Linked DNA regions of Sus scrofa. Each later gene encodes a partner of the first gene's protein in a complex. Links are inferred from orthologs where the notes say so. Each region holds a gene or a part of one and is shown on either strand. Other genes may lie near its edges.

Evidence for each region.
Region 2: the proteins of F2 (region 1) and SERPINA5 are in contact, whole or in part, in a crystal structure (PDB 3B9F), measured with the Homo sapiens proteins. The link is inferred for Sus scrofa from reciprocal best matches to the Homo sapiens genes F2 and SERPINA5. Residues at the interface, in NP_000497.1 of Homo sapiens: Arg383, Pro386, Glu388, Leu389, Leu390, Cys391, His406, Cys407, Tyr410, Pro412, Trp413, Asp414, Lys415, Trp455, Glu457, Asn458, Leu459, Asn506, Arg541, Ile542, Asp562, Ala563, Cys564, Glu565, Gly566, Asp567, Val588, Ser589, Trp590, Gly591; in NP_000615.3 of Homo sapiens: Gln241, Lys295, Lys296, Arg297, Thr368, Ile369, Phe370, Thr371, Phe372, Arg373, Ser374, Ala375, Arg376, Leu377, Asn378.
Region 3: the proteins of F2 (region 1) and SERPIND1 are in contact, whole or in part, in a crystal structure (PDB 1JMO), measured with the Homo sapiens proteins. The link is inferred for Sus scrofa from reciprocal best matches to the Homo sapiens genes F2 and SERPIND1. Residues at the interface, in NP_000497.1 of Homo sapiens: Lys384, Ser385, Pro386, Gln387, Leu389, Leu390, Cys391, His406, Cys407, Tyr410, Pro412, Trp413, Asp414, Lys415, Leu423, Arg425, Ser430, Thr432, Arg433, Tyr434, Lys440, Ile441, Ser442, Met443, Asn458, Leu459, Lys470, Trp511, Ala513, Asn514; in NP_000176.2 of Homo sapiens: Glu75, Asp76, Asp77, Asp78, Tyr79, Leu80, Leu82, Ile85, Phe86, Asp89, Asp91, Val305, Glu306, Met307, Thr308, His309, Gln327, Asp343, His361, Lys362, Arg388, Thr457, Val458, Gly459, Phe460, Met461, Pro462, Leu463, Ser464, Thr465.

What each region holds. Positions count from the first base shown.
Region 1 is NC_010444.4:15,816,319-15,820,461, reverse strand, and holds the start of F2 (prothrombin), read left to right. Parts: upstream 1-1,310; 5' UTR 1,311-1,346; coding exon 1,347-1,425; intron 1,426-1,807; coding exon 1,808-1,971; intron 1,972-2,867; coding exon 2,868-2,892; intron 2,893-3,120; coding exon 3,121-3,171; intron 3,172-4,143. UniProt on the Homo sapiens protein: Thrombin, which cleaves bonds after Arg and Lys, converts fibrinogen to fibrin and activates factors V, VII, VIII, XIII, and, in complex with thrombomodulin, protein C. Functions in blood homeostasis, inflammation and wound healing.
Region 2 is NC_010449.5:115,802,414-115,805,913, forward strand, and holds part of SERPINA5 (plasma serine protease inhibitor), read left to right. Parts: intron 1-3,339; 5' UTR 3,340-3,356; coding exon 3,357-3,500. UniProt on the Homo sapiens protein: Heparin-dependent serine protease inhibitor acting in body fluids and secretions. Inactivates serine proteases by binding irreversibly to their serine activation site. Involved in the regulation of intravascular and extravascular proteolytic activities.
Region 3 is NC_010456.5:50,430,121-50,433,545, reverse strand, and holds part of SERPIND1 (heparin cofactor 2), read right to left. Parts: intron 3,295-3,425; 5' UTR 3,285-3,294; coding exon 2,408-3,284; intron 1,023-2,407; coding exon 749-1,022; intron 1-748. UniProt on the Homo sapiens protein: Thrombin inhibitor activated by the glycosaminoglycans, heparin or dermatan sulfate. In the presence of the latter, HC-II becomes the predominant thrombin inhibitor in place of antithrombin III (AT-III).

The DNA.
Region 1 (4,143 bases):
CTGAGAAGTTCCTGTTGTGGCTCAGTGGTAAGGAACCTGACAGGATACGAATTTGATCCCCGGCCTCACTCAGTGGGTTAAGGATCCGATGTGGCCATGAGCTATGGTGTAGGCCTCAAACATGGCTCTGATCTGGTGTTGCTGTGGCTATGGTGTAGGCTGGCAGCTGAAGCTCTGACTCAACCCCTAGCCTGGTAACTTCCATGTGCCACGGGGTGCGACACTAAAAAAAAAAAAAAAAAAATTGAAAAGTAGGAATGGATATATATATATGAAGTAGACCACCCAGGAATTAAGCTGATTTGTGGGGTTCCTGGCCCCCAGTTCTCTGCCAACCCTCTCCCCTGTTTTGCACCAGGCCCCTCCCTGTGGTCTTCCCAGATTGTACATGACCGAGGCCCAGACCCTGAACAGCCAGGCCCAAGGGACTGCAGGACAAGAACCTGTACTCCCTGTGTTCCTGCTCTTTGGCCCTTTGTCCCAGTTCGACCCAGGACTAATATTTACCTTTCATACTGCAAACAGGAAGTGGGGGAGAGATGGGAGCAGAGCTGGGCAAGGAGTAGTGTGGGACCAGTAGCCACTCCAGGTCTGGCCCCAGGCAGACAGTCATATACCTACTCCGGGGCAGGCCGCAAGTCCTGGGAGAGAAAGCAGACCAGAAGCCAGAGAGGCCCTGGGCCTGGCTCCTCCTCTTAGGCAACCAGCACTCACAAACATGCCTCCAGGGCTTCCAGACGAGGAAGAGGGGAAATGGGACCCTCATCAGGGCGGAGAGGCTGGGGCCAAGGTCCAGCCCAGTGTGACCTGGGACAAGGTAGCAGCTCTCAGCTGGCTGCTCCCTTGCCTCTGTTTTCTCACATCTGTGCGTGGTGATGACACATACCTCCTCGCTGGTTTACATCCATGTAGATGATTATTAAGCTCTTGCTATGTATTTATAATCTCCTTTAGTCCTCACAATAAGATACTCATCCCATTTTACAGATGAGGAAACCGAGGCCCACAGGGATCAAAGCAACCACCACCTGTGCATGTGTTAGGATTGGAAGGAGACTTGGGAAGAGCTCGTGACCCCACTGGCCTAGGTTGGCCCGTGCCTCCGGGAGGGAGGGGCTGGACAATGGTGGTTACGTTGATCTTTGCTACACGACTCCGTCCCAGACCATCCATCCCTGGTCCCAGGAGGACCTGTCCTCCCAGGTGGCGGGAGTGAACTATCTATCCACTTGTCCCCATGGCCCTGACCCGCTGACCTCTGTCTCCCAGCTGATTTCTTCATGTTAGTTCAACATTAACCCAGAGGGGTCAGGAAAAGCCCTCAGAGTCCTGGGAGCCGACACACTATGGCGCACGTCGGAGGCCTGTGGCTTCCTGGCTGCTTGGCCCTGGCTGTCCTCGTTAGCCTTGTGCACAGCCAGCATGGTAAGGGGGGCCTGGAAGCTGGGACAGACCGGCAGACTGGGATGTGGGCCAGGGGGCTGGGGTCTCCTGGCTCGACAAAGAACACGGCGCCGGCCCCCAGCCGGGTCTCAGCTCACGGTGTCCAGCTGAGGGAAGGAGCCGGGTGCTCAGGGCTGGACAGACAGGGACTGCTTCTCCTCTTGCAATACCGGGAGAGGGCTGGGGCTGACCTGTGAAAGGAGGGGTGCTAGTGGGCTGCTGTTAGCAGCCTCTGGGGGGCAGCCGCCATCCCAGAATCTCCCTTTTGGAAGCCAGCAGGCAGGCCAGGCTTGCTTCCTGCCCCCATGGTGGCCAAGACAACCTGGCTCCCAGAGGCCACTGTCCCACGCCCCTCCTCCCGCAGTGTTCATGGCCCCTCAGCAAGCACTGTCGCTGCTCCAGCGGGCCCGACGCGCTAACAGCGGCTTCTTCGAGGAGATGCGGAAGGGCAACCTGGAGCGAGAGTGCGTGGAGGAGCAGTGCAGCCGCGAGGAGGCCTACGAGGCCCTGGAGTCTCCCAGTGAAACGGTGAGCTCCCCCGAGAGGGAGACCCCAGCTGCAAGAGCACAAAGGAGGGGGGTGCGGAACCTGGCAGCTCTTATCTTCATCTCTGGGCCCTGTTTCACTGGGCTGCCATGATGAGCAGCTCAGCCTCTGGGAGGCCCTGTCACTTGGGCTGTGTCAGGGTCCTGGGGTCTGGTGAGGCTTCAGCATGTCAGGGGTCCTCCCCGGTCTTCAAACATCTGTCTATGTTGGGGTCACTAGAGCCCCCAGTCCTGGACACGTAGCCTATCAACTTTAGTGTTTGTTTTGTTTTGTTTTTGTTTTTGTCTTTTTGTCTTTTCTAGGGCCGCTCCCGTGGCATATGGAGGTTCCTAGGCCAGGGGTCGAATTGGAGCTGTAGCCCCCGGCCTACACCTGAGCCACAGCACCGCGAGATCCAAGCCGAATCTGCAACCTACACCACAGCTCACGGCAACGCCAGATCCTTAACCCACTGAGCAAGGCCAGGGATTGAACCTGCAACCTCATGGTTCCTAGTCGGATTCATTAACCACTGAGCCACGACGGGAACTCCAGCTTTAGTTTTGCTGTGACTTGTGTGCCCCCTTGGGAGGTGGGTGTCTGGTCAGGCCCAGAGACCAGCTTCCCCTTCCCGGAGGCTCTGCCTGGGCCCCTCTCCTCCAGTCCACCCCCACCAGGAGATTCCCTTTCAGCCTTGGCCAACAGAAGATGGGGGGCTCCTCTCTCCTCAAATACTTGGGTTTTTGGGAAAAAAATTAGGAAACTCTGCCACAACCTCCCCAGAGCCAGCCCTGCGTGACCAGGGTAAGGGAAAGAGGATGGTCTAAGAAGGCAGAAAGTTTACTAAAAAAACAAAGCAGGATCCTGCCACAGCCTCACTCTCAGCCCTTGTTTTTCAGGATGCATTCTGGGCCAAGTACACAGGTGAGCACTGGGAAGGGTTTGCTCCAAGAAGGGAGTCTGGGGACCCCAGAGAGAGAATGCTCCGTCCCTGAGACCCTTCTGGTCCATCCAGGCATCCCTGCCTCCACCCAGGTCTCTCCCTTCTATCTATCTGCCCATCTCTGTTTCTGAATGTCATCCCATCTACCCTTCGCTTGAACCCATCCTGTCTCTGCCTTGATCTCAGTGGTTTTTCTGGGTCTTTTCCAGCTTGTGAGTCAGTGAGGAAATCTCGAGAAAAGCTGGTTGAATGTCTGGAAGGTAAGGAACTGACATGGGGGTTGGGGGGACAGGATATGAGGGGATAGCCTTGGAAAAGAGCACAGTAGGGGTGGGTGAGGAGTTGTGGCCCAAGGGTGGTGGCCTCTGGCATCTGACATTGCCATTCTGGTCCTGAGGTCCAGGATATATCTTTGCACCTGGCTCTGTGCCTGACAGGAAGATGATTAATGTTGGAGAAACTAATTAATGAATGGGTAATGAATGATGATTTTAAGGCTTCACTCTCATCCAAACCCTACATATGCCAGGCAGTCTTCCCCGTGTGCCCGAGGCAGAGCTCCAGTGATGTCACATTCATTCTCCAAAGCCTTGAGGGGCTCCCCACTGCCCCCAGAACAGAGCACAGGCTTCTTACTTCTTAGCCTGGTGAATTTAGCAGGTTCTGGCCTTTACCTTCCCTTTTAGCTTTAGCTCCCATTGCACTAACTCTGCACCCAGACCCCCAGCTTGCTGACAGCAAGCACTTCTCTAAACAGGCCTAGATGTTTCTATCTCCTGGCCCCTGCTTACATTGTCATCTTCCCCTGGCGTAATCATCATTGCCCTGCTGAAAACCTCCCTATCCTTCGAGAGCTAGTTCAAATGCCACCACCTTGCTGAGCCTTCAAGGTGCATCCGCCCTCTTCCACAGCATCCTGGACACACCTTTAGTATAACATTAGGCCCCACTAGTGGAACTCCGTGAATCACTGGCCATACTTTCATTTGTTATATAAGTTATTCAGTAGACATTTAACTAAGCCCCTGCTGTGTATCAAGGACTAAGGCGAGTGTTGGGGATTTTAAAAGAATCAGGGAGACGGCAGTTTCATAGGAAAATAAAAATACAAAACATCAAAGTAATTGATGGGAAAGTTCTGATCCAGGGGACGAGAGCATTCTAGGAGAGGGAGCGTTTTATTTGCGGGCCGAGTCAAGGACAGCTCTCCAGAAGAAGGAGAGTTCTACCTG
Region 2 (3,500 bases), on another chromosome or scaffold:
ACGGTTGTGACAATGACACCAACTCCACATTGCTGCGGAAGAGTGTAAGTGAGCTAATTCAGCTAAACAGGTTAAGACCCACTAGTGGCCACTGAGGAAGGGGAAGCCCATGGTACTCCTTGGAGCCTCAGAAGGGAGCCAAGAGGCAGCATGTACACCAGTCAGGGGAATCTGGATTTTAATCCTGGTTCCGTCACTCACTGGCTGGGACAAGCTATTCCAATTTTGGAAGCCTTGCTTTATCTGGCTGTAAAGTGGGTAACGATGGGATGCAGTGATATTTATAGAGTGTCTGATTGGTCCTTGATAAACGGTGGCTTCAATAAGAGAGAAGAGGGACTAAACGGAGGAAGATTTCTGGGTCCCAAACCTGCAGCCCAGGGGAGCCAGGGGGAAGCCAAGGCCCTGCTCTCAAGGGGGACTCATGGGGCAGAAGCAGCTCTGGCCCAACAGGTCACCAGTGTTTTTGGGGGGCAGGCAGTGGTGGGGCCATAGCGCCAAACAGACCTCTGTGTTTTTTGTTTTTGTTTTTGTTTTTTTTTTAATGAAGAAACTGCGGCCCAAGAGGGGAAGGGCCAGGCTCAAGGTCAGCAGGCCGGCTGCAGGGCTGGGGCATGGGAGGCCTGGTCTCTCATTCCTGCACCCCGGCCAGGTGTCCCTGGGCTCCATCCAAGCAGGAAACTCCTCCGTGGTCTGTAGCTATTCTTTGAAAGCGTTTCTTTGAGGGTCATTATCAGCTCAGTGCTCATCTGTGTGTGGGGTGGGGGTGGCGGTTTGAATTGCTTCTTCAGCAGCATCTGTGATGGCAATGGTTTTAGCTGCGTAGGAGGGACCTCAGCAAAGGACACAGAGATCTCAGCACCCAGAAGGCAACTCTTAGGGTGGGAACCAAAAAGGAGTATCAGCGTGGGAGACCCAGGCATGTTTCTTAATTCTCTGCAGAGCGGGGGCTGTCTGTGGTCACACTGAGGGGCAGAAGACCAAATCTGGAGACTGTGACACAGGGGAGGGCCAGGGACGTGGGGGAAGCTGAAAGGTATGGCAATTTAGAGCATGACCTGTGAGGGTCAGAACTGGGTCTGAGCCCAAGCTCTGCCACTGTTTGTAAATGCTGAGCCTCAGTTGACGCATCTGTGAAAGGGAGCCAGGAGCAGAGCCCGCCTCCGTGGGTGGGCATGAGGCCAAAGAAACTGATGTGTCCAGAGTGCCAGCGACGTACCTGAGCCTCCCACTGGCACAGGGACTGCTGGGCCACTGTATTTGGTTCAGGGTAGCTGCGGGTTCTGCAGACAGAACCTTCCAGATGAACTTCCTCTGTGACTCAGGTGCAATTTGGAGGTCAGGGGTGTGAACGTGACTCCTTGAGTCACTGAGTTTCATTCCAACAAAAGATGGGACTGCAGGCCAGCTCTGCTGACTCCCAAGTTCACCGGTCTCCCCAGCAAGCCATGTCCAAGGCCACTGTTTGGGGCCCTTGGAGTTGGGTTTTGCATCATTCGTGTGACTCTGTGGCAGTGCCAGGGGACCTGATGACTTGGTGTCTAAAGCAGGAGAATACCCACCCGGAGGGGGTTCCCGCCCAACGGGAGCTCTCCTCAGGGGTCAGGCAGGTCAGCTTGGGGTCATGTGAGAACATGTCCCCTGCATGCAGAGAAGGAAGGGGGGATCTCGGCAGGTGGGGGGCTTTGGCCAGTCCCTGCCACACGGCTCACACTCACACAGCTGTGCTGGTCGCTGCTCCAAGCACGTGACATATGTTGACTCATTAAAGCCCCCCAGCCATGCCTGGTGCAGATTTTGTCATTACCTCCAGGTGGGTGACAGTGGCTAGGGATGTGACTTGCCCCAAAACACTTTTGGAAAAAGTTTCAGGGCTGAGACTTGAACACAGGCTGCTGGGCTGCAGAGTCTGGATCGTTCACAGTGGGTAGACGGTGGGCACAGGGAGGGTTTCTGAATGGAGGGTTTTAGGGAGTTGGGTATGAGAGAGGGTGAGGCTGGAATGATGGAAGACCTCCTCGGGGCAAGGGAGAGGCAGAGACAGAGAAAGAGAGAGAGAGAGGGAGAGAAAGAGACAGAGAGACAGAGACAGAGACAGAGAGAGGAACAGACAGATAAAGACAGAGCAACAGAGACAGAGAGATAGGAGATAGACAGAGACAGACAGAGACAGAGACAGAGAGGAGACTATAGAGAGACAAAAGCCCAGGGCCTCTTCATCAGGGATGCAAAGAAGAAGAGATGCCTGGGGGCTCAAACAACATGCATTCATTGTCTCACAGTCCTGGAGGCTGGAAGTCCAAGATCAAGGGCAGGCAGGGCTAGTTGCTCTTGAGGCCTTTCTCCTTGGCTTGTCCCTGATTGTCTCTCATTGCTCCCTCTTCCCTGTGTCCTCATAGCCCTCACGTGGTCGCCCCTTGGTCTGTATGTCTGTGTCCTAATCTTCTCCTCTCATAAGGACACCAGTCTCATGGGATCTGGACCTGCCTATGATGTCATTTTAATTTTAATCACATCTTGACAGACCCTGTCTCTAAACACAGTCACATTCTGAGGACGTGATGTTATGACTTCACCATATGAATCTGGGGGCATGATTCAGCCCATCACGGAAGAGGAAGGAAGTCTTGCTCATGTTAGAGGGCACAGTGCCCTCAAGAGAGAAGGGTGCTTCTGATGAAGGACAAGGGTGGCCTTGGGGGTCCCAGAGCAGCCCTGGGGAAGGAGAGGGGGGACCAGTGACACTGTGTGTTCAGTGACGAACCACTGCAGCCTGGCACCCTGCCCACCAATGAGTACATGCAGAGAGTGACAAGAACAAAGCCAGCAGTACAGCAGGAACCACTGAATGGAGTTTGAGCTCATAGACGGACACCAGGTCTTGCAAATGTCACACCCCAGGACCAGGTGGCGGTTAGAGGTCATGTATAGAAACAGTGCTAGTTCCTGGCTACCACAGAGATGCTGACCAGCCAGAACATGGGAGAAGAAGCCTCTGCACCAGGTCCCATCGCCCCACATTCCATCACCTGGTACCTTGATGTGGATGAAAGGAGGCTCCTTGCTCTGGTGGCCAGTCCCCACCTAGGGTCCCGCTCCTCTGCCTGTCCTTCCTCTTGCTACCATTAGAGGTCCCCACCCCAGGTCTCTGTCCTCCAGCCCCTGCTGGGCTCCCTAAACCCTGACTCCCAGCCTCTCGGGTTCATCATCTCCCTTCGGGCTGCTTGTTGGCAGTGCCATCTTCTGGAATGTCAGCTTTGCATGTTTCTTCCCGTCTTGTCTCTGAGGATTCACTGGCCGCCCACCCCCTCTGAGGGCATCTTCTACTCTTCCTTTCAGAGTGACGGGCGGCCACAATGCGGCTCTGCCTCCTCCTGTGCCTGGTGCTTCTCAGCCCGCGGGGGGCCTCCCTTGGCCGCCACCACTCCCGGGAGACCAAGAAGAGAGTCCTGAAGTTGCCTCCTGCAGTCGCCACGGTGGCCCCTGGCATCAGGGACTTT
Region 3 (3,425 bases), on another chromosome or scaffold:
GGCCGAGTAGTGGGACAGCCAGTTGGTCGGGCCCCCCTGCTTGGGGCCAAGGTTGTGGGCAGTGAAGTTAGGAAGGAGGCAGGTACAAGAGGAACTTTTTTTTTTTTTTTTTTTTTTTTTTAAATAGCCAGAGTAAAGGCATATGGAAGTTTCCAGGCCAGGGACTATATCTGAGCCACAGTTGTGATCTACACTGTAGCTGCAGCAACACCATATCTTTAACCCACTGCACAGGGGCAGGGATCTAACCCACACCTCTGCAGTGGCCCAAGCTGCTGCAGTTGGATTCCTAACCCACTGCGCCATAGTGGGAACTTACAGGAGGGGATGTTTTTAGGGAAGAAACAACAGGGTTCGTTGACCACCTGGCTATGTGGGCTAAGGTGCCTGCAAGAGCCTGCTTCTGCCTTGAGTGCATTTCTTTGTATTCTTGTCCTGGGGGGAGGCCCAGCCAGGTTCACTCCTGAACATAGGCCCAGCCAGGATCTGGAGGACAGAGGGTGACATGTGCATCTTTCCTACCTCTCACCCGCTGAGCGATATTGGGGGTCAGGGAAGTGCAGCAGGGCTCCGAGGGCGATGCCATCCTCACAGAGAGCAGACACCTTTCTCACAAATGTACTCTGATCACCTCTTGCCTAGTGAGAGGTTTGATTGAGTTAACCTCAGCTCAGGGGTGGGGCTGGGTGTTCATGCACACTGTCCCTTTCTCTACAGTGATATCCTTGGCCCCAGCCCCCAGAGGTACCTATTTGTCATGCTCTTCTGCCATTTCTCCACCACCTGGGGTGTCAGCTGCGCCTCCAGGGTCTTCATCCCAGACAGCTTGTGCGGGACCACGACCAGCATGCTGACGCCCCCCACATAATCCAGCTGCAGGATCTCACAGTCCAGCTCCTGGTCACTTGCTGCCAGGAAGGCCCCTTTGGTCTGCATCATGGGGACCTTGACCACCTCTCGCTCATTCAGCCTGAAGTTGTGGTTGTGGGTCATTTCCACTGGGAATTTATTCACCCAAGACCCTGCGAGGGAGACAGGAATCGGGCTGTGATTAAAGTGCTCTCAGAGGGTTCAGGCAGACTCCGTGCCCCCCACACACATCTGAACCCACAGTCTGGCTGGGGCCAGGAGTTTTGGTTTCTAAGCAGTTCCCAGGTGACACTGATGCTGCTGGTCCAGGGACCCCACTTTGAGAACCACTGTTTTAGAAGCTTCCTGTGGGAGGCGTGAGGATGACAGAGGGAGTGATAAACAGGAATGAAGGCTGGGTTCTTTACTGACACTAACCATCAAGGAGCCGGAGACTCCCTGGGGGAGGCTGAGCCACGGGCGGCCTGCCTCTGATCTGGGCCCGCCCTGAGGAGGGGCTGCTCTGTGGTGATGGTGGGTGTTGAGCAGCACCCCCAGGTTGTGCTGTCTGCCCTGAGGGTGGATCCCTCCCCCAACCAGCTCTGTTGAGGCCTGACCTGTTTTCGCCATGCTTTACAAAGTGGTTGTAACACTTAGAATTAAAAGTTTTCATTCACTTGATTTGTCTTCTCTGAGCCAGGACAGGAACTCCCCTCCTGGGCATTTTAAAAGTGAGGCCTTGGTGATTATTTCTGGGATCCCAGGGCCCTGTGTGTGTGAGTATGTGCTCAAGTGGGGGGTTGGGGTGTCCTCCTGAAGCAGGGCCTTGATGCCTGGCCCAGAGCAGTTGCTCTAGACCTAAGAGTTGATACCCGCCCCCACCCTCCCAAAAAGAAGCTCTAGTGTTAATGTCAGCGATGCCAGCTGAACCCACCTTTGTCCACACTCATACTCACTGATGAAGAACTCAGATCCAGCCTGGCCAGATATGGAGAAGGTTTTTGTATGATTCTGGTTTAACAGAGCACTAGGGATGGCCTACTAGGAGAGCTTGGCTCTGCCCCTGACCAACCATCTTTTGGGGCAGCGTTTTCCTCACTGTCTGTAAAATGGAGGCCCTTTAAGTGTTAGCTGCTCTGTTACCTCCTCAGATCCTCCCCATTCCCAGAGCTGAGCCTGCACCTGAGTCTCCTGGGCACATCGAGGTCAGACGTGGTTTTTGCCCACCCACCCGCATGCTAAGAGAGCATGTCCACATGTTCCATTGTGGCTTAGTGGTACCAAACCCAACTAGTATCCATGAGGACGCAGGTTTGATCCCTGCCTTCAGTAGGTTGAGGATCTGGCATTGCCATGAGCTTCAGTATAGGTCACAGATGTGGCTTGGATCCTGCACTGCTGTGGCTGTGGTTTAGGCTGACAGCTGTACCTCCGATTTGACCCCTAGCCTGGGAAACTTCCATATGCCATGGACTTGGCCCTAAAAGAAAAAGAAAAAAAAAAAAAAAAAAAAAGGCACATCTGAGTCTGCTTTGGGAAGCGTGGGGCTATTTCTTACCTTTAAAGTAGATGCAGTTCAGGATCATCATCTGAGTCGCAGGGTCTATGTCCTGCAGAGTGTCCTTTATGAGGCCCTTGGTGAGTCTTGCAACGTGGTGGTTAGTCTCCGATAGGAAGGCAGGGTCTGCAAAGTCGGCCGCCTGGACCTCGGCAAAGTAGTACTGTCTGACCTTGGTTCTGAAGTCATCCAGAATGGGGAACTGCCTCTGGACGTAAAGGTCGTTGACAGCCCGCAGCGTGTACCCGAAGTCCCTCCGGAAGAGGCGGTGGGTCAGCTTCCGGAAGAGGTTGTGGATAGTGCCCAGCTCATACTTGCTGCTGGCATTGACAAAGTCCGTGAAGTGCAGGGCCGCATGCACTTGCTTGTGGGTCTCCCCGCGCAGGCCCAGGCAGAGCATGCCCATGGCCGTGGAGATGCCCACAGGCGCCAGGAAGATGTTGTCTGAGGCACTGGCCTGCTCCTTCAGTGCCCGGTAGAGGTTGAAGGCGAACTTGGCATTGAGAATGTTCAGTCTCTGGATGCGGCTCTTGCCTGGGAAGAGCTGGAGCACATTCCCTGCACTGGCCATGGGGTCTGCAGGCGAGACTGCATCCACGATGTCAATGTAGTCGTCATCATCCCCAAAGATCTTCTCCAGGTCCAGGTAGTCCTCGTCCTCCTCTCCATCTGCAATCCACTCATTGGTGACTGTGTCCTTGTGGAAGTCAGTGGGGAGGAGGGGCCTGCTTTGGTTTCTGCTCTTCATTTGCCCCCACCGGGGGTCTGCAGACTTGGGGTCCTCCCCACCATCAACGGGCTGGCCCACCAGGCCATGCTTGCCACACACGGATGCCAGGAGAAGAAATAGCATGAGGGGGTGTGGTGAGCGCTGCATTTTGGCAGAGCTGGAGGGAGAACCAGACAGAGTAAGAGGTAGACCCCATACTTACATATATCCTGGCAGACACCGCCCCAGCCTTGATCCAGGAGGGTGCACTGGGGGTGCCAGTCCCAAACCATTTTGGTTCTGGTGAAT